3 linked regions of the Rhinolophus ferrumequinum genome follow. The protein of the gene in region 2 purifies or fractionates together with the protein of the main gene of each other region. This does not show direct contact. Links are inferred from orthologs where the notes say so. Each region holds a gene or a part of one and is shown on either strand. Other genes may lie near its edges.

Region 1 (8,004 bases), on a different chromosome or scaffold from region 2:
ACAAACCCCATGAGTCTTTCATTACAACAGAGCTCTTAACAAATGCGTGATTCTGGGCCACTATTCACAAGGAAAGAACAAATGTCAACCTCATTTTACCTGTCTTGCTAATGATCTCAGCTCACCTTCCCAGAATAAGTGATCTTGGCTCAAGTCCTTCACAACCTCTGAAACACCCCGAGCAGCTGGGTGTAGATTTCTGAGGAGCAGTGAAGGGTTCACTTGCCTGGGGTTCTATGATGTACATTTGCTTTTAAGTGACCCCCTAGTCCCCTGCTAGATATTTAAGCTTCAAAAAAAAGAGATTTCACAGGCACTACCTCCTCTGCAAATCCCATGGTGGCAGGGCCAATGATTGCTGCCCAGTAAGTAGGGTTCAGAAGGACACTGATGGAGACAGACAGCAGAACATGCATGTGTCTTTTCATCAGGCTTCAGGCGAGACCAAAGTCACTCGTACATACATGGTCCAGCCCCAAGCCCACCTAATCCTGTCTTGTCTGCCTTCTGGAGAATGGCATAGCATGATGCCCAAAGCATTTGCCCATACCCAGCCAGTCCCCTAACCACAGCGAGTTCACTTTACAGATAGAGTATGGTGACAAAACTCTAACAGCTTACAGTGTGATTATTGTGTGTGAGGGACTGTTTTAAGTCATTTGCATGTAATATCTCACTTAATCCTCCGAACAAGCCTTATAAGGAAAATGCAATATTAATTTCATGATACAGTTAAAGAAACCAAGGTCACGTACCTGGTAAGGGCTGGGCTTAAACTCTGAGAGTCTAATTCCAGAACCTGTGTTCTTAGCTATGGAAAATGTACAGCAACGTAGCAATTACCAGAACTATTTATTTCCACAAAGGAGGGTGGGCAACAATCGTAAATCGTCCCAAACCACACAAAACCCACAAAGAATTTTGCAGTTTCAACTCCTACTCACAGGTTCAGTGTCCCAAGCATTGTGGGGAGGCCAGCAGAAAAGAAAGGAAGCTGAAATATTAATAGCTCTAGGTCCTAAGGCGCTCACAACCCAAAGGTGGAAACTACCTGCTAAAATACAATGTGATCAGCAACCCAAATACTGCTGAGGCCTAGGGTAGTAACAAACTGGATGTTTGTGTGTGTTAGGGAGACAGAGGGGACAATCCCTTCTTCACTCAACGCTTGTTTATTCTTCAATAGATCAGGGTGACATGGAACTGTTGCTTGGTAAGGAACTTCTCTTTATGGTTTATGTCGTTCAAATCCGTAAGACAATAAAACTGTGCTGCCTGGCAAACAGTCCTTACGAAGATGCCGTTCTCAAAAATTCTTCTCCCATTTTACCTACAAATTAAGTGGCAACCAAGTCACACTGCCGACACGGTAACAGTGAAAATTTCACCATAGATGTTTCACTAATGATTCTGAGAGAAACCAAAGTTTGGGAATACCAAATGCTCACAGATAGGTGAGAAGTGTTATTTCTTTGAACCGTAGGATAAAACAGTTTCTTCCCAGAAATCAAAGCCCCAACTGTATCACATTGATTTAAATTCAACTCTTAAACACTCTAAATTAGTGGTTCCATAAAGTGACTAATTACATGTCCCTGGATGCAGACAGTTTCTGCCATCCCACTTAGAGCCTAGGAGCTGTGTAATCAAACAACCCACCTTCAGGAAGGAGAATGCTGATTAGTATTGTTGATGGGTGACACCAGTTATAATATTTCCAGCAACCCTTTAAAATTTATAAACACATCCCTGAAAATGCCAGATTCTTCACAGCCTGCTAGCTTTTGGAATACGCGTCTAAAAATACATGCATTGCCAACCACAGCCCCAGAAAAAAAAAAAGGGGGGGGGTTAACAAAAATGCACGTGCCATTCACACAACCACCATGAAAAACTGCTCCTGCATCTCTTACCGAGCAGCTCAAAGAGCTCCCAACACCTTCGCGGTGCGGGCTTGATACCTGGTTTGAAGACGCGAAAACCGATCCAACAGATTTCTGGACTCCAAGTCTCACTCCAAGCTCATCTCCCGGCCGCCAGGCCGCGGCTCCGCCCCACTCCTGCCTCTGCCACCGACGCGTTTAAATTTTTATAAAGCTTCACACGGCTCTGGGCGCGTTGCTTGGGGGAGTTCAAAGACTGCCGTTGGAAATGAGGTCCTGCCCGTGACCAAGCCGCCCCGGTGCGGTGAGATTTCCTCCAACTGGGACCCCCTCGGGCAGACTCGCCGGCCGCTTTCTGCTCCACCCCGGCGTTTTTTGAAAGTAAACTCCTACCTGCCTGTTGCGCTCTGCGATGCACAACCGGACTCGCCCCCCCGGCCTCCGGGGCCGGCTCAATTTTGGAAGCGAGGTGTGAACACAGGCCAGCTCTGTGCCGGTTTCTGGCCCAGGGCCCGGCGGCCCCGGGCGCTGGCGGTTACGGGGTCGAGCCCCGCGGCAGGGTGAGAACCAGAGTGCGCGCCCGGCTCCCCCGGCGCGCAGGGCGGCCCGGCCCCCGGCCGGCACGGCCGATGCAGCCGCCGGGTGCCTGCAGGAACGCTCGGCCACTCCCTGCCAGCCGCCGGAACGCACAACCCGAGGGCGCACCCCGAACTGCAGCTAGGGGAGAAGGGGGCGTCCGAGGCGCGGGGAGGAAATGTGGGGACCGGAGGAAGTGGGGTGCGGCGGGGAGCGCAGGGCAAGGGCAGGAGCAGGAGGGGTGCACCTCGCCGGGATGGGAGAGGAGTGGGACCCCGGGAAGCACACACGGGGTGCGGTCCGTAGAATGGGAGGCGGGAGGAGGACGGTGAACCCTGGGCTGAGTCCTGGGGTTGGGGTGAGGGATCCGCGCTGGGGGCGTCTCCCCGCCGAAGATCTGCGCCCCGCGCCCGCCGCCCCGCCGCCGCGCCCGGCCTCTCGCCGGACTCACCTCGGCGCCGGCCGTGCGGGCTCCGCGGCCGCGGTCTCGGCTCGCAGCAGCCCCGGCTCTGCGGCCTGCGCTGGGCTCCTGTAGAGGCAGAACCCCGCCACCGCCGCCGCCGCACTGCTGCTTTCCGCTTCCTGTCCCGGCGCCGCCCCGCAGCCCGAGCCCAGCCCTGCGAGCCCGGCGCGGCCGCGAGCCAAGAGCAGCGAGCGCGGCCAACCCCGCGGCGGGCCCGGCCCACCTGCCGCGGGGGCGGGTCCGAGCCCCGGAGGCGTCTCCCCACCCGGTCACTCCATACACCGGGACACACACACACACACACACACTCAAGTCATGCACAAAATCCAAGCCTGTTTGCCCTCATCAAAGCCCCAACACATGTTCAAGCAGCCCAGGGACTCATCCCCCAACCCGGCGCCCCCACCCCCAGACACTCATACATACACATTCTAAGAACTGGCCAACAAATATCCATATACACCCACACCTCCACCAGTATTCACACTCACACTGAAACTCGTATGCCGCCCCAGAAACACATAGCCGTGCACACCCAGACGTCCTACAGGTCCCCACAGGCAACCTTCTCCCTTCTCCTGCCCAACAGAGCAGTCACTGCCCCGAACCCCAGTCTTTTGAAACTGCTGGAAGAGCATACCTCTGAAGGCAGGCAGCCCATGTTCCAATCCTGATTCAAGTAGGTCTGCTTCCATCTGTGAGGCTGTTTCCCAGTCTGAAAAGCCAGAGGGTGGTAACACCAACCTTACAGGATTGTGGTGAGGATTATGGAAAGTAGCTGGGGCCCAGCGGGCACGGAGTAGTTGTCAACTACCTATATGAATTGTTGCACCCTTCTTCCTTAGTTGTCTTGTGCAGAGAGGGTTGGGGATCCATGTGAAGAGTCTGGAGTCTGGTTGGGACCCAAAGCTGCTTGCATGACGCAGCTGAGTAGAGGTGGTGTATAATGAATACTGTGGGCAGTTGGGGTGGGGAAACACATGCCCACCCTGAACTAGCCTTAGTTAAGGAACTTCAGCCTTCAAGGCCCTCACTCTCTTCTCACCACCCCTTCCGCATCCCTTCCACTCCCCGTTCTCTCTTCCATATATTGCACTTCAGAGGGCATCATATGTTCAATATGCAATCTTGACTCCTCCCCTCCCAGCCCTCCTACTCCACTATACTTCACTGCAAAGCTTTATAAAAACATGTCTCTTTCATCTTTAAAATGTAGACCCTTCAAAGTTACTGCAGGCCAGGGATTTCTGATTTTAGTTATGATGCTCCTGAATAGCCCCCATGTGATATACAGATCCTAAATGAATTTTCATGGGAAGTGATTCAAATCCACTTTTCTAAGTCTAAGTACCTTAACCATGTGGTGCTTTTGTGGGAAAGAGGGGTAGTACAAACTAAATTCGATTTTAAGATAATAAATTCACCTTTAAATGCCATCTACTATTCATTTGTATCCAACAATCTCAAGTATTCAAGCTGAAAAGGTAAGAGTTGGAAAACTTCTCAGAAACTGAATGATGGTCTGTGTAACCTGGAGGCCTGCCTGGCTCCCATTATCTGTCACAAAGTGGATCAGCCTTATTCAGTTAGCAGTCTTATTGAGCTCTTGCCTGAAGTCAAGTTCTACAGCTTAACCTTGAGCAATAATAAAGGTTATACTGTGGGCTCCATCTGCCACCCCTTTTGTCTGGCTTATCCATTTGTTCCAAACTTGACTAGGGAATCGGATGTTCTCTAGACTCCAGTATGACTATACTTTCCACAAATTCATGCATTTATTTTCCCCTTCCTGTCCACTCTCACAGCATTCCCAAACCCTAGAATGCTACCCACTGAAATTCTTCCTGTCTACCAAGATCCAACTCAAACGCCATCTTCCCCAGTTCTCCCAACAAGAAATCAATTTCCTCCCTCACTTGAATTCCCATAGCACTCTGGATTTTTAGATTCACCTTCCTACCTTGCATTGGTCATTTGCATGTCACTCCTCAATAATGTGCCTGCCAATGTCATGTCTTTTTTTCTATCACAGATCTTTCTACATAGTAGTCGCTTTAAAAAATACTTAGCAAATGAATGAAAAAATGAAAAAATACTTAGCAAATGACTATGAAATACCATTGCCCTTGGGAAGTTAATAATCTAACCAGGGAACGATGTCACTGAAAAGTTGTGACACATGCACATAAAAAGTTAACAATGAAAGAGAATATATAAAATGCGAAATGCACTACAGGCATACTTAAAGAAGTTATTTATTCAGCCTCAGGAATTATGAGTAGAACTGCAAAACAGGAGTTAAGTGAGAAAGGCCTCTGATCAACAAAATAGATAGTATAATATCCGTACCTTAACGTAGATAGACCTCATAAATAAAAGAATCTTTCGTACCCTCACTTCGACGCTGTTTACACTTAGTTTACAAACGTTTCTAATAAGCTTCATCATCTAATTCCTAAGCCTACTATAGATTAGAAACACATTAAAAGAGAGCAGGAGGTGACCTCAGGAGACCCCAGGAACTGCACAGGGTGTCATTGTGAAGATTGTTTAATTCCCAAACTCATGTCCTTTCCTTTTACCAGTTACTTTTCTTGGTGCGCTGTGACATCACAGAATAGCAGTGTCCATAGTGGTGACCCTGACTTTCAAAGGTTAGATGGATATTCTCTATACAATACTCTATTCAAAGATAAGGACGATGTGAGAAAATATTAGAAAAATTTCCATGCAAAATACTTGAAATGTTAAAAAGTGCTGATTCTTGAAAGGGCCATTTTCTGTAAAATCTGCGAATGTGTAATATCTGTTTATCGGTTCATAACGCTAGTGATGGGTTATTCGTGCCCAAGAAGAGAGTCACATGGACCTGGATGGTCAGTCAGCATCAAGTTGTCCTCCTCTTGAGAAAAGAGAGAAGTGGCATAGACATAGGAGAAGGACAGTGGCTGGAGCAATGACTGGCTTATCTCAGGTGCTTAATAAATATGAGTTGAATAGATGAGTTAGTATTATTTCTGTCTGGAGTATTGGCAGGGATGGAAAGAACAGTGCATGAGATACAGTCAAAGGCAGTGAGCAGAGCAGTTAGGCTCAAGATAAGAACTCATGCTGAGACACAGAAGATTCAAAATTGAGTGGCTAGGATTAGAAGACAGAGAACTTTGAATCCAACACGAGTGGCTGAACTTTTTTAAACGCGCTAACAACGTGATAAAGTATTCATTCATCCAAAAACATATACTGAGTACCTAATACAAACCAGGTAATGTATTCACTTCCAGAGATACGAAATTAGATAACGTAACATTGATCAGTGATTGCATAATGTATTCAACAAATGTTTATGGAGCACTTACCACGTGCCAGTCACTATTCTAGGCTCTGGGGATCCATCAAAACAGACAAAGCTCCTGCCGGCTTAGAGTTTATATTCTAGTGGGAGAGACGCACAGGTGAGCAACACATGCAGTGCATCAGTGGTAACAGTGCTAAGGAGAAAACAGAGCCGGACAGGACATGGGGGGCGGGGGGAGGGGTGTGTGCCTCCTTCTCCTGGAGGAGTTCATGCTGCTGGGCGAGACTGTTCCTTAAACAAAGCCACACAATCGAATATGAGAGTGCTGTGACTGACCAGAGGCAAGACGGGCATGCTGGAAGCCCAGAGGGAGAAGAGCCAGCTCAGCCTGCAAAAGCAGCGTGGCTTCCCCTGGCCATGATGACCTGGGCACGGAACATGAAGGATGCACATTTGGCAGATAAAGAGGGAGGGAACATCCTGGGCAAAGGCACCGACGTGTGACAGAGTATGTCCAGGAGGCTGTGTGTGACGGCAGAATGCAGAGCTGGTGAGCTGGTGGAGAGTGGGGGTGGGGAAGTGACACAGGGGTGATAGCTGCGTGGAACTGCAGGTCTGGAGGCGTAGGCACTAAAATGATGCTTGTGTCAGGGGGAAGGACAGGAAGGCACAGAGTGTTGAAGCGGCATGGCTCCTCAGGGTGCCTGACAGCGTTTGGCACAAGGGGAGCATAAGGGAGAAAGCAGGGCTAGGATGGGTGGAAGAAGGGTGGGCACGACCTGGAAGCAAGGAGAAGAAGCCAGAGCTCAGAGGGCTTCTAGGGTGACTTAGAAGTGGGTGTTATCTGCTAGGCAATAGGGAGCCACGGAAGAGTTTTTATGGAGAGGAATAGATGAGTGGACTTTGCAGTATGGAGAGTGGCTTTGTGAGGAAAGAGTGAAAGTAGGGAGACCAAATAGAAGGCCGGGGGTCATAGGGAACCCAGAGTGAAGGATGGGCCTGAATTACTGCAGCCGTAGGCGAATCTCAATCACAAGTGGGGAACCAGGAGGGACAAGAAGTTCAAGCAGCAAAGGTAAATTCTCTGTTAGGCATATTGAGATGTGCCAACAATCATAGGTCCCATTTATTGAGCCTTTCTTGTCTGCCAGGCACTCTGCTACGTATTTTACATGTCTTATTTATTCCTTGCTACAACCCGTGTTGTGAATATTAGACCATCTACATTTTATAGGGAAGGAAACTTGGGCATCGAGAGGAGATCACACAGCTGCTACCTGGTGGGGCCAGGTTTGAACCTGGATTGTCTGACCACAGTCTCCACTTTTGTCCATAAGCTAGATCGCTGTGTGGCAGTGTGGGAGGACGTAGGCTACTGGTGATTAATATTGTTTGGGAAGAGGACACGTGATTGACAGTGCCGTAGAGAAAAGAGAAGAGGTGGGTAGAGAAATGCAGACTTTGTGAAGCAAAGAGATAGGACAGGGACGTGTGGAGGTGAGACAGGTGTCATTGTCATTTTGTTTTGACACAGGCTCCAGCCTGTTTATAGACCAGGGGGAAGAACTGTTAAATTTCAACATTTAAGGAAGGAACATTTAAGGAAGAAGGGTGGAAGGACTAGCCTTGTAGAGGTGGAGGCAGGTGAGCTCACAGGGTGGGTGTGGGAAGTCAAGCCATCTTAGTAGTCTTCATGAAGAAGGAGGCAAGATGCTCCAACAGAACCCGAGAAGCCAGGAGATGAAGACAGGCCAGAAAGAGGAAGTGTGTCTGACGGCTTTCCA
Region 2 (7,814 bases):
CTCTTTTGGTTTAGAAGGGTGTTTAAATAATTGGTGACACTACTAGAATGGATGTGTTTTAGATTAAAAAATGGTCACATTTATTAAATATACATTTTATATTCCAAAATTAGAAGCTAAATTTCTTTTAAAACAGTGGAATCCTGATTTATTTTTATTTTCTGTGAGCTCTTAAGACCATTCTGCACTATATCAAAATGAAATCGCTATTTAATAATCTTTATATGTTCAATTTCTTTCCTTTGCAAAAGGGAAGAAAACGAAACCAAATTTAACAAACTATATTAACCTAGAATACTAAAAACTGACTACTTTAGAATTTGGTAAATCTATTTTCATTATTCTGAAGGAAAATATAAACCTTCAAAACCATAGCAACACTTTCTAGTCCAATTTTCTATTATAAAACTTAAAAAGTTAAATGCCTCGTGGCACTAAATAGAATTAAAAAGTTAACTGAAGACTAAATTAGATAACCAAAATATAAGCAGTGTAACTAACCATAACAATTCACTGGTACAATGAATACTTGAACAATGAAAAAAACCACCAAGCATTTTAATCAATTGTACACTTCATTTTTTGCATATTTTAATCTCGACTTTTAGCACAGTAAATTATTATATAGGTTAATTTTGTGGACTGTTTTTAAATTTTGGAACGTTACATAAGTAATTCAACATTACGCTTTCTAAACCAAATCTGTGGTACTAATCAATTTTTTTTTCAGGAAAAGGAAAGGATATCTTTTTAAAATACATTCCATAGCAGTAGAATCACCTGTAGTGTTTCCAAATATTTACAAAGAGCCCTGCGGATCCTGTGCATTTCGCTGAGGTGCTACCTGCACCCAGACTTCATCATCAGAAAAAGAACTTGAACTTCCTGACTCAGAGTCCAGCTCACTGAATCCATCTAAGTCCCATTCAGTACTAGACTCACTCCGTGCATCATCTTCCTCAGTGATGAAACTCTGACCAGGTTCAAGGCAAGAAGGATAAACACGAGCACAGAGGCAAATAAAGCCCGAGTCAAACTGCAAAAGACCTAACATTGTGCCTATATTAATCCATAGGTCTTCCCTAGTATCATATTCGTACACAGTCACCCGGTTTTTTTTCCATTGTGGGGTGGTAGAAGTGATGAGAAGCAACTTTTGGCCATGATTGACAATCTGATAGTTGTGGGTCTCTGAGTCCAGGGGAATATTACTAATCCTCCGCCATTCTCCCCTGGCTGGGTTATAGACCTTCATGACGGGGATGTCACAGATGCAATAGATCTCATCATTGAAGACACAGGCTTCCTGAAAGTCACTACGTTTAAGAGAAGCACAGTTCAACCACATATTGTGACTAGGATCATAGCAGAGCATGCGTTTACTGTTCACAGCATAAAGATAGTTCTGAACCACTATTAATTCGAAGGAATAGAAGGAGTGGGGAACAGGAGCCACCAGTGCCCACTGGTTTCTCTGAACACTGTAGCATTCCACTTCCTTCAATTTAACTCCAGTAATAGGGTCTCGCCCACCCAAGATGTAAATGTACCCATTAAGGTATGCCACATCCATGCCCTCACGGCAGAGCAAGCGATCTGCAAGTTGCTGCCAACTGTTCTGGGCTGGTTTATACACCCAGAGGTCTTTCCTGGGCTGGGCAGCTAGATAGATGTCATGGTCTGGAGAGACGCAGACAGCTGAGGAGGTGATAGTCTTAGTGTGGGCCAAGCTGGTCAAAGGTGAGGGCATTGTGTAAATGTCCCCTGAGTATGGGTCATAGCAGAGAAAGGGATCTCTGGGATGTCCAAAGAAGATCACCATCTCCTTGGCACACACACCCAGCCTCTGGGGTGGATTTTCTGCTGCAGAAACAACAGAGCTGCTGCTGCACTCTGGCTTTGGCACCAGAGACTTGTACAGTATGTCACCATATCGCATCTGCAGGGCCCCTTCAATAAGGTCCAGACAGTACTTCTTCACAATGGGCTTGGTTAGCAGCGCTTCCAGGTAATCCTGATCTTCATCAGTGAAGTGTGTCCAGCGGACACACTTGAAGACTTCCGCAGCGCTGGGACCCCGCTCCTTGGGAGCCGCTTCCAACCACTGCACCGCCACGTGACACACCGTTTGCTCACTCTCGATGTTTAAACTATCCAGGCGCAGCACGGCCAGCAGCTGGGCCAAAGTCAGATCTGCCAGGGTCTCCTCCCGAATCGAACCCATCCGGCTGAGCTGCTTGAAGTTGTGGGCGATGAAGGACTGGGCCTGTGAGCGCAGCTTGTGGTGGTCGAAGGCGTCGGCGAACTTGAGAATGGCGGTGCAGTTGGCCAGGTCAAGGCGGCGGGCTAGGAAGGAGGCACAGGCTTCCCGCACGTACTCGAGCTGTAACATGTCCGAGGCTGCATAAAGGCGCTGCACGTTGGACTCGCTTAGCGACACGCGACCCGTGTAGCAGTATTCGACCAACACCTCGAAGGACTCGGCATCCACATCGTGCATGGTCACGTTTGCCTGCTGGCTCTCGTACATGCCGCCGGTGAACATGCTCTTGAAGTAGGGACACGCGGCAGCCAGCACGTTACGGTTGCAGGGGAAGAGGCGGCCCGTGCCAGGCCCACTGCCAGGCGTCACCACCTCGATGGTCACATCACACAGCAGCCGCGCGTCGTAGAAGGACTTGAGCTGTGCCAGCAGGGCTGCAGAATGGGCCGTGTCCTTCAGCTCCTCAGGGCCCGCGAAAAAAGCCGAAACTGAGGGCTTGGAAATCCTCTTGGGCCGCCTCCCACCACGGGGACTGGAGAGGCGGCGAGAGCGCGGAGCGTCTTCCCGAGACTGCATGGTGGAGATGGCCGCGGTGCTGAGGTGAGAACCCGGGCAAGGACGGAGCTCCGGCTCCGCCTCAATCTGCTCTAACCAGCGCAGATAGGCGCTTCCCTGTATAGGGGCCGCACCTTTTAAACTCAGCCCCACGCAGCGGTGCCGCCTCCTTTTATCGCGTAGACAGTGTCTTACTCACCCTTTCCAGTTCCGCGCCCCCCCTTTTTTTTTTTTTTTTCACCTCAGCTCGCCCTCAGTGAACCCGCTGACTGGAACCAAGTGAGCCACCACTGCTGCGCTGACGACACGGGATCCTGAACTACGACTCCCAGGCTGCTTTTCGCACTCGAGGCGTGCCTGGACAGTCCAGATGCTCATAGGCTGAATAATAGTAAGCCGCTTTGCACGTTGGGAGTGATAGCTTGAATAATATCGCGAGGTTTCTTGGGGCGGAGTGTTTCTTCAGGTAATAGAATTAGAGAGCGTTAATGCTCCTCGATTTAATGGTTTAAAACTTTGGCTTTGAAATACAAAGTAAAAGCCCCGTTTCAGTATTCATTAATTATGTCATTTCTCCCTGAAAACTTATTTGTAAAATGGGGATAATAGTATTCATAGGATTGTATTTGGATATAGAAAGTTTCAATAAATATTTGAGAACAAAAATTGTTTACACTGTGCTTAGTACATATTCAGTCAGCTTAGTACATATTCAGTTAGCTTTTATTTTAGAATTTATGAAAATTGAGACACCCCCTAATTTGAAACCATGAGCAATTTCTGAAAACTTACCGTTTTTAGTGTTGCTTCTTTTGAAAGGCTGTGAAGTGTATTACAATATTTATTTTCAATACTAAACGATATTCACAGGTTCATTAATATGTCTTAGACAAAATGAGATCCTAGAGGACAGCCATTGTAGATGGCCTCAGTTATGCAAATCAGGCATTAAATGGATGGGTTGACTCATCAAGTCAACACTTCATCTCCTGGGTAGCAAGACTATTTTCACAGCCTCTTCATGAGTGTTTGCAAGTCATCTAATACTGCTCCTTTCACTTCCTTTCCACAAATCAGTTGTAAATTCTGGAATTGTTTTTATTAAGTAGTTTTAATGAGAGTTTTAAAGTATAATATTTAAATAAACAGACCTTGTATTGTACACAAGCCAAGATCCTCAGAGTACCGTATTCATACATGCCCTGACATTTCTTAAATTTATGTAGTAGAGTCGATGCTTTACTAAATTGTTGACATAGCTATATAGATCAACATTATCTGCTAGTTAAATTGTCAAAATCAAGTGCTTAGAGACTTGATTTTTTTTAGTTTGGGAACTTTAATTTAAAAACTAGACTGCTTCTGCTGTTAGTTTGCCATGGGTCACCATTATGAATGAAATGTTTAGTATTACACGAATATGTAGACAACACATAGTAGGAAAATAACTCTCAACTTGTATTTCTCTCTTTTCCTATTAGCTAAAGTGGGTCTACTGGAAATACCCCCAGGAAATAGACATTAAATTAAGTGGGGCTCTGGGCCCCAATGTCTCCTCTGTACCTCAGTTGGGTGTCCCTCAGATATACCAGAAAGAATTAAGTCATTAGTAACTCTGATTGCTTTCTCATCTGCACTAAACACAAGCTGGGGTAAACAGCAATTTAAAAAATTATATTGGTAAAATATACATAACATATAGGTTACCATTTTAGCAATTTTGAAGCATACGGGTACATTTCTTTGGCATTAAGTACATTCACATTGTTTTGCAACCATCACCACCATCCATCTCCAGAACTGTTTTCATATTGCAAAATTGAAAGTTTGTATCCATTCACAGTAACTCTCCTTTCGCCCTCTCCAAAACCCCTGGTAACCACCATTCTACTTTGTCTCTGAATTTGACTACTCTACATGCCTCATATAAGTTAAGTGATTGATTTTTAACTTCCTTATATCAGTCCATACTTTGTTATTTGGTTTATATTATCTTTCACGGAATCTGAAATATTTAGTAGACACAGTGCCCTAAGGTCTAGAGCAGTGCTGTCACAGAACTTTGTGCGATGTGCAAATACTTAATATCCGCCCCACTGATATGGTAACCAGAAGCCACCTGTAGCTCTTGAGAACTTGAAATGTGGCCAATGCAAATGAGGAACTGAATTTTAAATTTTAGAAACACAGCATTGGTATCGATGAAATTCAGTGGAGAAAGAAGTCTCTTAGACAAGTGGTGTTGGAACAACTGGATCATAATGTGAAAAAAAACATTAACCTTGACCCTTATACCATAAACTTATACCATAAACAAAAATTAATTTGAAATGGATCTTAATGTAAAACAGAAAATTGAAAACCACAAAGCTTCTAGAAGAAACCATAGGAGACTATCTCTGTGACTGTGAGGTAGGCAAAGATTTCTTAGGATACATGAAACATTAACATTAAAAAAAATTGATAGGGGTGGCAGGTTAGCTCAGTTGGTTAGAGTGTGGTGCTAATGACACCAAGGTTGCCGGTTTGATCCCCGTATTGGCCATTGTGAGCTGAGCCCTCCTTAAAAAAAAAGAAAAGAAAATTGATAAAATGAATTTCAACAAGATTACAAGCTTTGTCCAGGAAAAGCAATGAAAACAGGGACAGCTGGTTAGCTTAGTTGGTTAGAGTGCAGTGCTCTTAATAAAGTTGCTGGTTCGATTCCCACATGGGCCACTGTGAGCTGTGCCCTCCACAAATAGATTGAAACAACTACTTGACTTGGAGCTGACGGGTCCTGGAAAAACACACTTAAAGTTGTTTTTTTAAAAAAAGCAATGAAAACAAAATAAAAAGGCAAGTCATAGACTGGCAAAAAATATTCATAATACATATAAGCCAATGGCCAATAAACATGAAAGCCCATCAATGTCATTCATCATGAATGCAAATTCAATTCACAATGAGAAAATACTGCACAGCCAATAGAATGGCTAAACTTAAAAAGATCAATAAGAGCAAATGTTGGTGATTATAGGGAGCCATTGGAACTCTCATATATTAATTATGGGAATGTAAATTGGTATGTCCCCTTTAAAAAACCGTTTGGTAGTTTTTTTGAATGTTAAATGCCCAATAATTTCACTGCAATTTCCAAGGGAAATTAAAACATATGTCCACGAAGTGTTCACAGTAGCCTCATCCATAATAGCCCAAAACTGTAAATATATATGTGCATCAAGGAGAATGAGAAAAATTAATTGTGGTATATTCATAGTGTAATGCAAGTCAGAAATAAAAAAGAAACAAACTTTGATGCACATAATAATGTAAACAAGTTTCGAAAATTTTATGTTGAACAAAAGAAGCCAGATACACAAGAGTACATACTGTATGACCGTCTATGCTAAGTTTCAAAACAGTGAAAATAAGCTATGGTGAATAAAAATCATAATAAAGGCTGCCAGTGTGGGTTGGTGGATTTCTGCATTGGCTGCAGAGGAACCCAAAGAAACTTTCAGGAGTGATAGAAATGTTCTCATCTTGATTGGACTGAAGGCTGCACGGGTGTATGCAATTGTCAAATTCAATGAACTGTCTCTTAAGATCTGTGCATTTAATTTACTGTAAATTATACCTCCTAGGAGGAGCCACTTGGTAATTGCTAGCAGTAAATCAAGTTGCAGAATTCTTTGCCAGGAAATCGTGAAGATAGCTCAGTCATAAACTAAGACTCCCCACGTGTAGAGGCCAACAAGGCTCCAGTTTTCAGTAGATGTGGCTGGTGCTCCGTACACACCTGGACAAAGGTGCCTCGGGACAATTTTTAAGGGTCTCAGCATACTGGAGGTCTTTCAAATTTATAAAGTTAGCTGAGCACCCAACATTCCATTCCAGTCTTCTTATTCCTGATACAACTTCATTAACACACATATACTAGTTCTCTGTGTTTGCTAAAAATCTCTTATAATTTGCATAATCCTTACAAGGGCATCTACGTTCTTGGCAGAAAGATAAAAGAGCTGTTTTTACCTGGTCATTAAGTCTCTATCAATGACAAATCTTGATTCTAGTTCTTCAAGAACCTTCAACTCTGTTCATGAATCTAACATCAGAGTCTCCTTGGCCCTTTTTCTTCTGAGGAGGCTGAGGTATCTCACTGGCTCTGCCCCCATTTCCATTTCTGGGTGACTCCAACATTTTTGTTTTGTAGCTCAGACATCTTTCCTGGGGCAGCCTCTCTCATCTTCCTTTCCGAATAATGGCTTCCTGAAGTCCTGTTTCTGCAGATCGGTTTCCATTTATTTCAGTCCTCTGCTTTCTGGAACCCATTCACCCCAGTGTTTACTCTAATCACTGTAAGTACAAAGTATTTCATTTGTTTGTCCTTTATAAAAATCTTTACACACTTTGCTTCATAAAGATGCCCATGAAAGCAAAGCAGCCGTTCACCTTCCCGGAATTTAGGCTTTGGTGGTATTTATCAGTGATTCTGCACACAATCTTCTCCCATCTGAGCGTGAGTACTGCCTCTATTCTCCATCCTACCAGCTCAGGTCAGGGCTGTGGCAGGCGCCATCAGCTCTACATCCTGGGCTCCCTCATATTGTTTTTCGCTCTGATTTTTAAATAGTCTACACACTATTCACTTTATGTCTATACCCAAAATGACTCACACTGCCTTTAGTCACTGGCAGCCAGTTTTTCTGGGTGTACTCTTGCTCAATTGGAGCATGCCTATGAGTGAGCTGCCCAATATGTTGTACTCTATTTGTTAGAGGAGAATCAATAAATCTAGTCCACGTTCAAGGAGAGATTACACAAGTGTATAAATGCCAGGAACAGGGATTATTGGGGTTATCTCAGAAGCTGCCTAGCACAAGGAACCGAATGATTATATGATGTCAAAGTATAACCCTACAGATTGCATACTAACTATTAAGGAAAACATGTATCATTACAACGGAGAGATTTGAGTTACCAAATTTAGCATCACTAATAGTGGAATTTCCTG
Region 3 (7,301 bases), on a different chromosome or scaffold from region 2:
CTCTGTTATTAGACATTATAATCAAGTGGATTTCTCTTTTACCCTATACTCTGACACATCTTTAAACAATGACACAGTTGATCATTCCCTCCTCCTTGAAAACTTTCTTTCCTTCCCTTCTAATAAATCACACTCCCTTGGTTTTCCTAACTTAATGTCTCTTGTCTGTCTCCTTTGCTAGATTCTTCTTCATTTCCCCAGAAGATACCTAGAAGGCAAGCTCCAGGAAGGCAGGGATTTTGGTCAGCTTTGTTCACTACTGTATCCCCCAAGAGCCAAAAAAGCACCCAGAACCATACTCAATAAATTAACTGTTGAATGAATAAATGAATGAATCAGTGTCGCAAGACTCAGATATTGAAGAGCCACAAAAGTAAATTATATTCCACACAATCTGTATGCTGTTTACTTTATTACATTATATTTTTCTAAAAATTGATAATCAATGTACTGATTATTTGATTAATCAAAATAGTTCACTCCCTGTTCTCCATTAATGTTTTTGATCCAGTATATGCAAAATGCACATTTAACAGCTCTTATACTACTTCTAAAACCATAAACATAGTGAGAAAAAGAACAGCTGTTGCTATTAGAACCTTTATTTTTACTGTTTCCAGTATTAATGTTGAATTAACAGACTCACATACTTATCTGACTTTAGTAATGAAAAAAAAAAAAAAAGAACACCTCAGCAGACTCAACAAGGATATCACAGTAATGACCAGCAAATGGTATTTCTTGAAAAAATGTAGTTGTTGTTCTTTTCAGGCACAAGAAATTCGAAAGAGAAACAGGTCATTTCTACTTCACACTTTCCCCAAATTACATGATTTCCTTCCTGCAAGAAGAATCACATCTCACAGTCAGCCATGCAAATGTCATTTTGGCAATACAGTTTCACCCAAAATCTCAGTTTGCATTTGTCCCCATGTGTACCCAATTAAATCAAAGTATAATTTAAAACCCAAAACTAGATATGTGAATTTTAATTTTTCCTTCTAAGTAACTAATGCAAAATCAAAACAATGCAGCGTACCAACTTATAATCTGATCTTTCTGAATAGTTAATTAAATCGTTTATTTATAACTACAAATAGGACCACGCCCTTTTTATCTTAATAGCTTTTATATCATCTGTTTCCTATAAGTCTCTTCAAGCAGAAGTATCTGCTAGAAGATAATGGTCTGCTCACTAAGTAGGCATGTTAAAAAAGGCAATGATCTGCAACTACTGACACTGACATCTGTATATTTCTCTCTTGGGTTACCGGAAAGCACTTCTCTGGCTATTTTCCCAAATTAATTGAGTAAGCCTTGGGAAAGTCACTGCTGAAATTCCACTTCATGACGGTTTCTCTTCCTCCATAAATGAATTATTGAGAGTCATGCCTACTTCATCCATTACATAATACATGTCCATCACAGCACCTGTTTCCGAGCAAGAACTAGTTTACATGACACTGATAGGTAAGGTCAGTGAATACTGTAATCTAATAGGGAGCAGGAATCCAGAAAAAAAGATTCTGATTTAATGTGCTAAGTTATGAAACACTGATGTGAAGAACACTAAACACTGTTTACTCTTAGTAACATCTCCCTATGAAGTGACAGGCACATGCCCCCAAAATGTTGTTAAGGAGCATTTTAAAAGTACTTGACTCCAAGAACATTACTCAGAAATTGAGAGGTCTACCAAAAAGTAAACTATTCCACTTTCTTTTTAAAGTGCCTAATAAAGACATCTGCAATTGAGAAATAAAAATAATCAATAATTTTGTTGAACACAAAACGTCTAAATGTCAAGGTCCATCCACTGAAAAACGAGCTGTAAAAGACAGTTGTGCTTTAAAACATTTAAGCACTTTTCATATAATTAGCTCCAAAAGACCTATTCCAAATTGTTCATTTTATCCATCCCAAGCAAGTCAACCACAAGCACAACCACCTCCAACTATTACTCAGAAATGTGTCTTCCAAAGCAACCGATTCTCAGGCCTGCTCTTAAGGGGCCCGGATAAGAGCTTGTAAATTAAGTGGTAAAAAGAGATCTTTTGGACACAGAAAAAAGACTGGAAGATAACACCTGAAGGACCTATTTCCCTGAACGAAGTTGTCTTAACCCAAGATCTCACTCTTCTTGAAGGCTAAAACTTCAAATCCATCCACACTCACAATTTACCCACCCTGAGCCAAAAGCAGGGATTCTCTTCCCTCCCCGACAGACCCACTCAAACCGCCAGGAGGAAAAAAAAGAAAAATAACCAAAACCCTAAAGTAGAAATGTGAAACCTAGTGCAACAGCTTCTCCACTGCCTCCGAGGCAACATCCACAGCTCATCTCCCTCTTGAAACACAACCCTTCACCTCCTACCGGTATCTTACCATTTCCCAGATGGGAATAAAAAAGAATCCTCATCTCTTTCAACATTTTACATCAGTCACCCAAATCCACAGATCCACCCTGACTGCACCCCCACCTCCTCACGGCTCCCCAATTCCTCCATCTCGCCACTACCTCGCCCGCAACATCACGCCTCATCAACCTCCCACCCTCCGTTTCCCCAACGCCGGGAACCCCATTCTCCCACCTCCCGCCCGGGGTTACCCACGTCCAACGCCTCAGCTCCCGCCCAATCCCCGACCTCCACTGGGTGGAGCCCGCCGGTGGGCTGGGTGGACTCGGGTGGGCTGGGGTGGGGCCCGCCCCTCCCCGACTTCCCCATCCCCCCGGCGGCGACACGAGGGGGAGGGGGTCCCGAAGCCTCACCTACAGCTCCGCCCCTCCCCGGGGGCGCGCTGCCCTGCCCTAGCCAGGGCCGGGAGGAAGAAGCAGGGTACGAAAAGGCAAAAAAGCCTCGGCCAGCGACAGGCGGGAAGCTCTAGGTCCCGCCTGACTTCCGACCTGCCGCCACCGCGGCCGTCTCACCCTCTTCAGGGCTGCTGTTGCTGCTGATGCCGCCCGGGCGCCGCCACCGCCGCCAATGCCGCCACCACCACTACAGCCGCCGCCGCCGCCGCCACAGTACGGCCCGGGCGCCCGCTGACGTCACCTCGCCCCGCCCCCTGCGCGAGACACCTAGCCCCGCCCCAGGCCCCGGCCGGGAGACGCCGTGAGCTCCGCCTCGCTTCCCCGCGCCCTCCCGCGAGCGCGACTCGGCGGCCCCCAGGCCTCCGGCGCCTTCCAGGGAAAGGCGGGTTATGGGTTTGGAAGCGGGGGTGACTCAGGCTCCAGCGGGGACTCCGCGCTGAAGCTAAGTAACGGGCACTGGGCGTCTACACACGTACACACCCCCACACGCGGCCCCTGCGGCCACGGGAGGTGAGATTCCGAGCCAGCTCTGGAAAGCGGCTGTAGGTGGGAGCGAGGAAAGACGGCGTTTGTCTCCTTCTGCTTGCCGTAGGAAGTGGACCGGCCGGGCCCAAAGAGCAGAATCGTCGCCTTCCCAAACCTTATAATCGCCCCACCCCCTCCTTGGCGGGGCCGTTACACAAACCCCGGGACCGCCGCCACCTCGGTGGGGAGCAGGGCTAAGGACCGGCAGTACGTTCCCGGCTGCGCTCCCGCGGCCCAGTGAGCACCCTTTGTCCGGGGAACTTGGATTTCCCCCCACACTTCGCTTTTGCGAAATGTGGCAACTGAAGGTAATAGTGTGACCTGAGACACCCGGGGCTGTCCACACGGCCCTAGGGAAAGAACTTAGGTGTCTCCGAAAACCCACGCCAGTGTGGATCGTATTCCTGTAGTGATTAGAACGGGAGAGAAGAGCGTGGGCGGAAATTAATGTCCACATTCGGTCCCTGCGATGTGCCAAGTACTGTGCTAGGTTGTCTTGTTCAGTCCTCACGACAGCGATGCGAGTCTGCCAGGCAACTGGTAACCTTATTTCGGGCAACCCAATTTTCCTGTACTGAATCGCAGTCGGGTTTCTTTTGTCGGAGCCAAAATTAGTGGACTGAATCCAGTAATTTAAAGATGTGGGTAAGCTATCTCTAAAGAGTGTAAGAGTGATGTGAATTATATTTATTCCCAGGCTTCTAGTGTTTATTAAAATAATTTAAAATGCCCTTGAAAGGAGTTGAATCATCATTTTACTTTACTTACTCGCCACCACCACAATTAACCAGCTTACAGTATGTCATTGATGCCACTAACATTTTCCCGGCTCTCCTCAGTATTCACATTCATTCATTCTCCAAATTCTCCTCTTTCGTCCTGAGCAGGCTGTCTAATTGTTCCCTCAGGATCACCACACACTTGGATTATTACAGATCCCGTCCTGCTGTATAGTCGCCCCCTTCAGTACGTTCAACACATGGCTACCAATTGTTAGACTGTGCTGCCAGCGAAGACTATATAGCTGCCAAATTAGCATCCTAAAATTTCATTTTCTTGGACATCTGGCTATTGACCGAGGAAAAGCCATCCTTCTTTGACTGTTTTTCAAGATCTTTCTCGTCTGACTGCTGATCTACTCATCTTGTTAATCCCTAGCAGTGTGGTGAGGAAAAAGAAAAGTAGTCATCTTTCTAGTTTCCACTTTCCACTCTCAAATTCTGCCTCTCTCTACTTGTGTGAGGGTGGGAAAATCACTTTACTGCTGGGTCCTGCTTTTCTTAACTGTAAAATGAGGTGTGAACTAGATGTCTGAGATCCATCATATCTCTGAAATGTGTGGTTCTGGAGAGTTAAGATGCAAAAGCACTAAGTTATGCATACATAGGGAAACTGTCAATATCACAGACTCAGAGATATTTTGTTTTTATTTTTGGTTTTGTTGTTTTTCTTTTACAATTCCACTGGTTGTTTTTTCTTATTTCCTACTCTGCCCCAAATACCTTCTTAAAACCTACATTTAGGATTTGTTTATTAAAGCCGGCTAACAGCATTCATTGCGTCGTCTTCCTGAGACCTCATTAAAATGCTAATAAAGGAATAAAAAATTATACAAGCCCATACAAAATAGAAAATGGGAAGAGAGCCCCATAATTTTTTTTTTAATTTTACACACAGAAAGTGAGTGCAGTCTGACTAAACAAAATGGAAGAAACTGTAATGTGGAATAGGTGCATGGGGTGCTGTGGAAGGGGGCCTATCTGCCAGAGTTACTGATTTAGAGAGACTGAAATTTGGAGACATAAGACAGAAAGCAATAGTAAAAAGCAGGGCTGAAAACAGGGAGACTAGGGGTCTGTATGTAGGACAACACGACCCTCCCTGTATCTCAGATACAACAGCTAGGCATTTATCCCAGCCTAAAAATCAAGAGTTTTTATAATCCCTGGGGAGGATTGGGCAGCTATTTAAGCATTTAATGACTAAGAATAAAGCATTCTTCGTTCTGGAACAATGGCTCATTTCCTACTTACTCACCCTAGAGTGAAGTTGTGCAAGTTGGCAAGACCCTACTAAGTTCACAAGGTGCCTAATCAGCATTCCAACTACCTCATCTGAAATAGGAACAGACAACCCAGGATTATTAGTTATTTAAGGAAAATCTCCAGCTTGCGGGGAGGGGGTGAAGATAAACACAATGTGACCATAGAGGAAACAAACTTCAGAGAACTTAAAAAAAACTAATTAGTATGCTCATACATGTTTACTACACCTATGAAACAAGAATAGTATACTCAGATGAAGTAACAATCCAAAAATAAAAAGTAAGTCTTGAAATTAGAAATAAGAAATTGCCAAAATTATAAATTTACCTGAAGTATTAAAAGACAAAGTCAATGAAATTTTAAAGAAAATAGAAGAAATATGCAATTTCAATTTATTTTAATATGAAATTTATATATGTATTATATATTAACATACACAGTATATTAAATTCATATTAAAGAAAATAGAAGAAATATGAAATTGCAAGAGAAAATTTAAGAGAAATAGTTTCTTTTGTAGGACTGATACTACAAAAGAAAAACAAAGTAAACAAATGACAGAAAATCACCCCAAAAATAATGGAAGAAAACTTCCCAGAGCTGAAAACATCTGCCTGTACAGAGCAAAAACAAAGAAAAAAACAACCTTGTGAAATGTTATAACTAAAGATTAAGAGACAATCCTAAATTTCCAAAGAGGGGAAAAAAAAGCAACCCATGAAAGACCAAGAATCAAGCTGGAATCAGAAATCTTAGCAGCGCTAGATATGAGACGATAACAAACAAAGACTTTAAAGTTTCTGAGGGAAATATTTCTTGAACTTCAAATTCTTAGGGAAAAAATTTTTTTTAACTCTATTCCTGCTGAGTTATCATTAAGTAAAAGAGCAGAACGAAAACATTTTCAGATATGCAGGGACTCATGAACTCCCACATAACCCTTTTTAAAAGATTTACTTCGGGGGCGACCGGTTGGTTAGAGCGCCAGCTCTCAACAACAAGGTTGCCAGTTCAATTCCCACATGGGATGGTGGGCTGCGCCCCCTGCAACTAAAGATTGAAACCGGCAACTGTACTTGGAGCTGAGCTACGCCCTCCACAACTAGATTGAAGGACAACTTGGAGCTGATGGGCCATGGAGAAACACGCTGTCTCCCAATATTCCCCAATAAAATTTATTTTTAAAAAAAGATTTACTTGAAGATGTGATCAAGCAAAATGTAAAAAATAGTGTATCTGACAACATCATATCCAGGAATCACAGCATCAAATTCAGGAAATACCAAGTCCTAGGCTAGATTGGAATGGAAGGATAGGAGTTCTGGAAGAGAAATCTGAAAAAGAAGAATATGACTGAAGAATTAATTACTATGATAGACAGCTTAAAGAATGGTGTTTTTTGGTATTCAGCTTTTTTATTTATTTATTTATTTATTTATTTATTTATTTTTATTTTTTAAAGATTTTATTGAGGAAGGGGAATAGGACTTTATTGGGGAACAGTGCGTACTTCCAGGACTTTTTCCAAGTCAAGTTGTTGTCCTTTCAATGATAGTTGTGGAGGGCGCAGCTCAGCCCCAGGTCCAGTTGCTGTTGCTAGTTGCAGGGGGCGCGGCCCCACCATCCCTTGCGGGAGTCGAACTTGCAACCTTGTGGTTGAGAGGATGCACTCCAACCAGCTGAGCCATCCGGGAGCTCGGCGGCAGCTCAGCTCAAGGTGCCGTGTTCAATCTTAGTTGCAGGGGGCACAGCCCACCATCCCTTTTGGGAGTCGAGGAATCGAACCGGCAACCTTGTGGTTGAGAGCCCACTGGCCCATGTGGAAATCCAACCGGCAGCCTTCTGCATTAGGAGCACGGAGCTCCAATCGCTGGAGCCACCGGGCCGGCCCCTGGTATTCAGCTTTTAGAGCCAACCTA

What was found. Proteins that work in one complex are often made in the same cells at the same time.
Region 1: the proteins of KBTBD7 (region 2) and VANGL1 purify together in Homo sapiens (co-immunoprecipitation; 4 studies listed by BioGRID and IntAct, with this or other methods). This does not show direct contact. The link is inferred for Rhinolophus ferrumequinum from reciprocal best matches to the Homo sapiens genes KBTBD7 and VANGL1.
Region 3: the proteins of KBTBD7 (region 2) and ERC1 purify together in Homo sapiens (co-immunoprecipitation; 4 studies listed by BioGRID and IntAct, counting the BioPlex papers as one, with this or other methods). This does not show direct contact. The link is inferred for Rhinolophus ferrumequinum from reciprocal best matches to the Homo sapiens genes KBTBD7 and ERC1.

Annotation. Positions count from the first base shown.
Region 1 is NC_046305.1:45,998,933-46,006,936, reverse strand, and holds the start of VANGL1 (vang-like protein 1), read right to left. Parts: upstream 3,031-8,004; 5' UTR 2,911-3,030; intron 1-2,910.
Region 2 is NC_046287.1:8,877,565-8,885,378, reverse strand, and holds the start of KBTBD7 (kelch repeat and BTB domain-containing protein 7), read right to left. Parts: upstream 3,006-7,814; 5' UTR 2,840-3,005; coding exon 800-2,839; 3' UTR 1-799. UniProt on the Homo sapiens protein: As part of the CUL3(KBTBD6/7) E3 ubiquitin ligase complex functions as a substrate adapter for the RAC1 guanine exchange factor (GEF) TIAM1, mediating its 'Lys-48' ubiquitination and proteasomal degradation.
Region 3 is NC_046293.1:88,986,098-88,993,398, reverse strand, and holds the start of ERC1 (ELKS/Rab6-interacting/CAST family member 1), read right to left. Parts: upstream 3,031-7,301; 5' UTR 2,771-3,030; intron 1-2,770. UniProt on the Homo sapiens protein: Regulatory subunit of the IKK complex. Probably recruits IkappaBalpha/NFKBIA to the complex. May be involved in the organization of the cytomatrix at the nerve terminals active zone (CAZ) which regulates neurotransmitter release.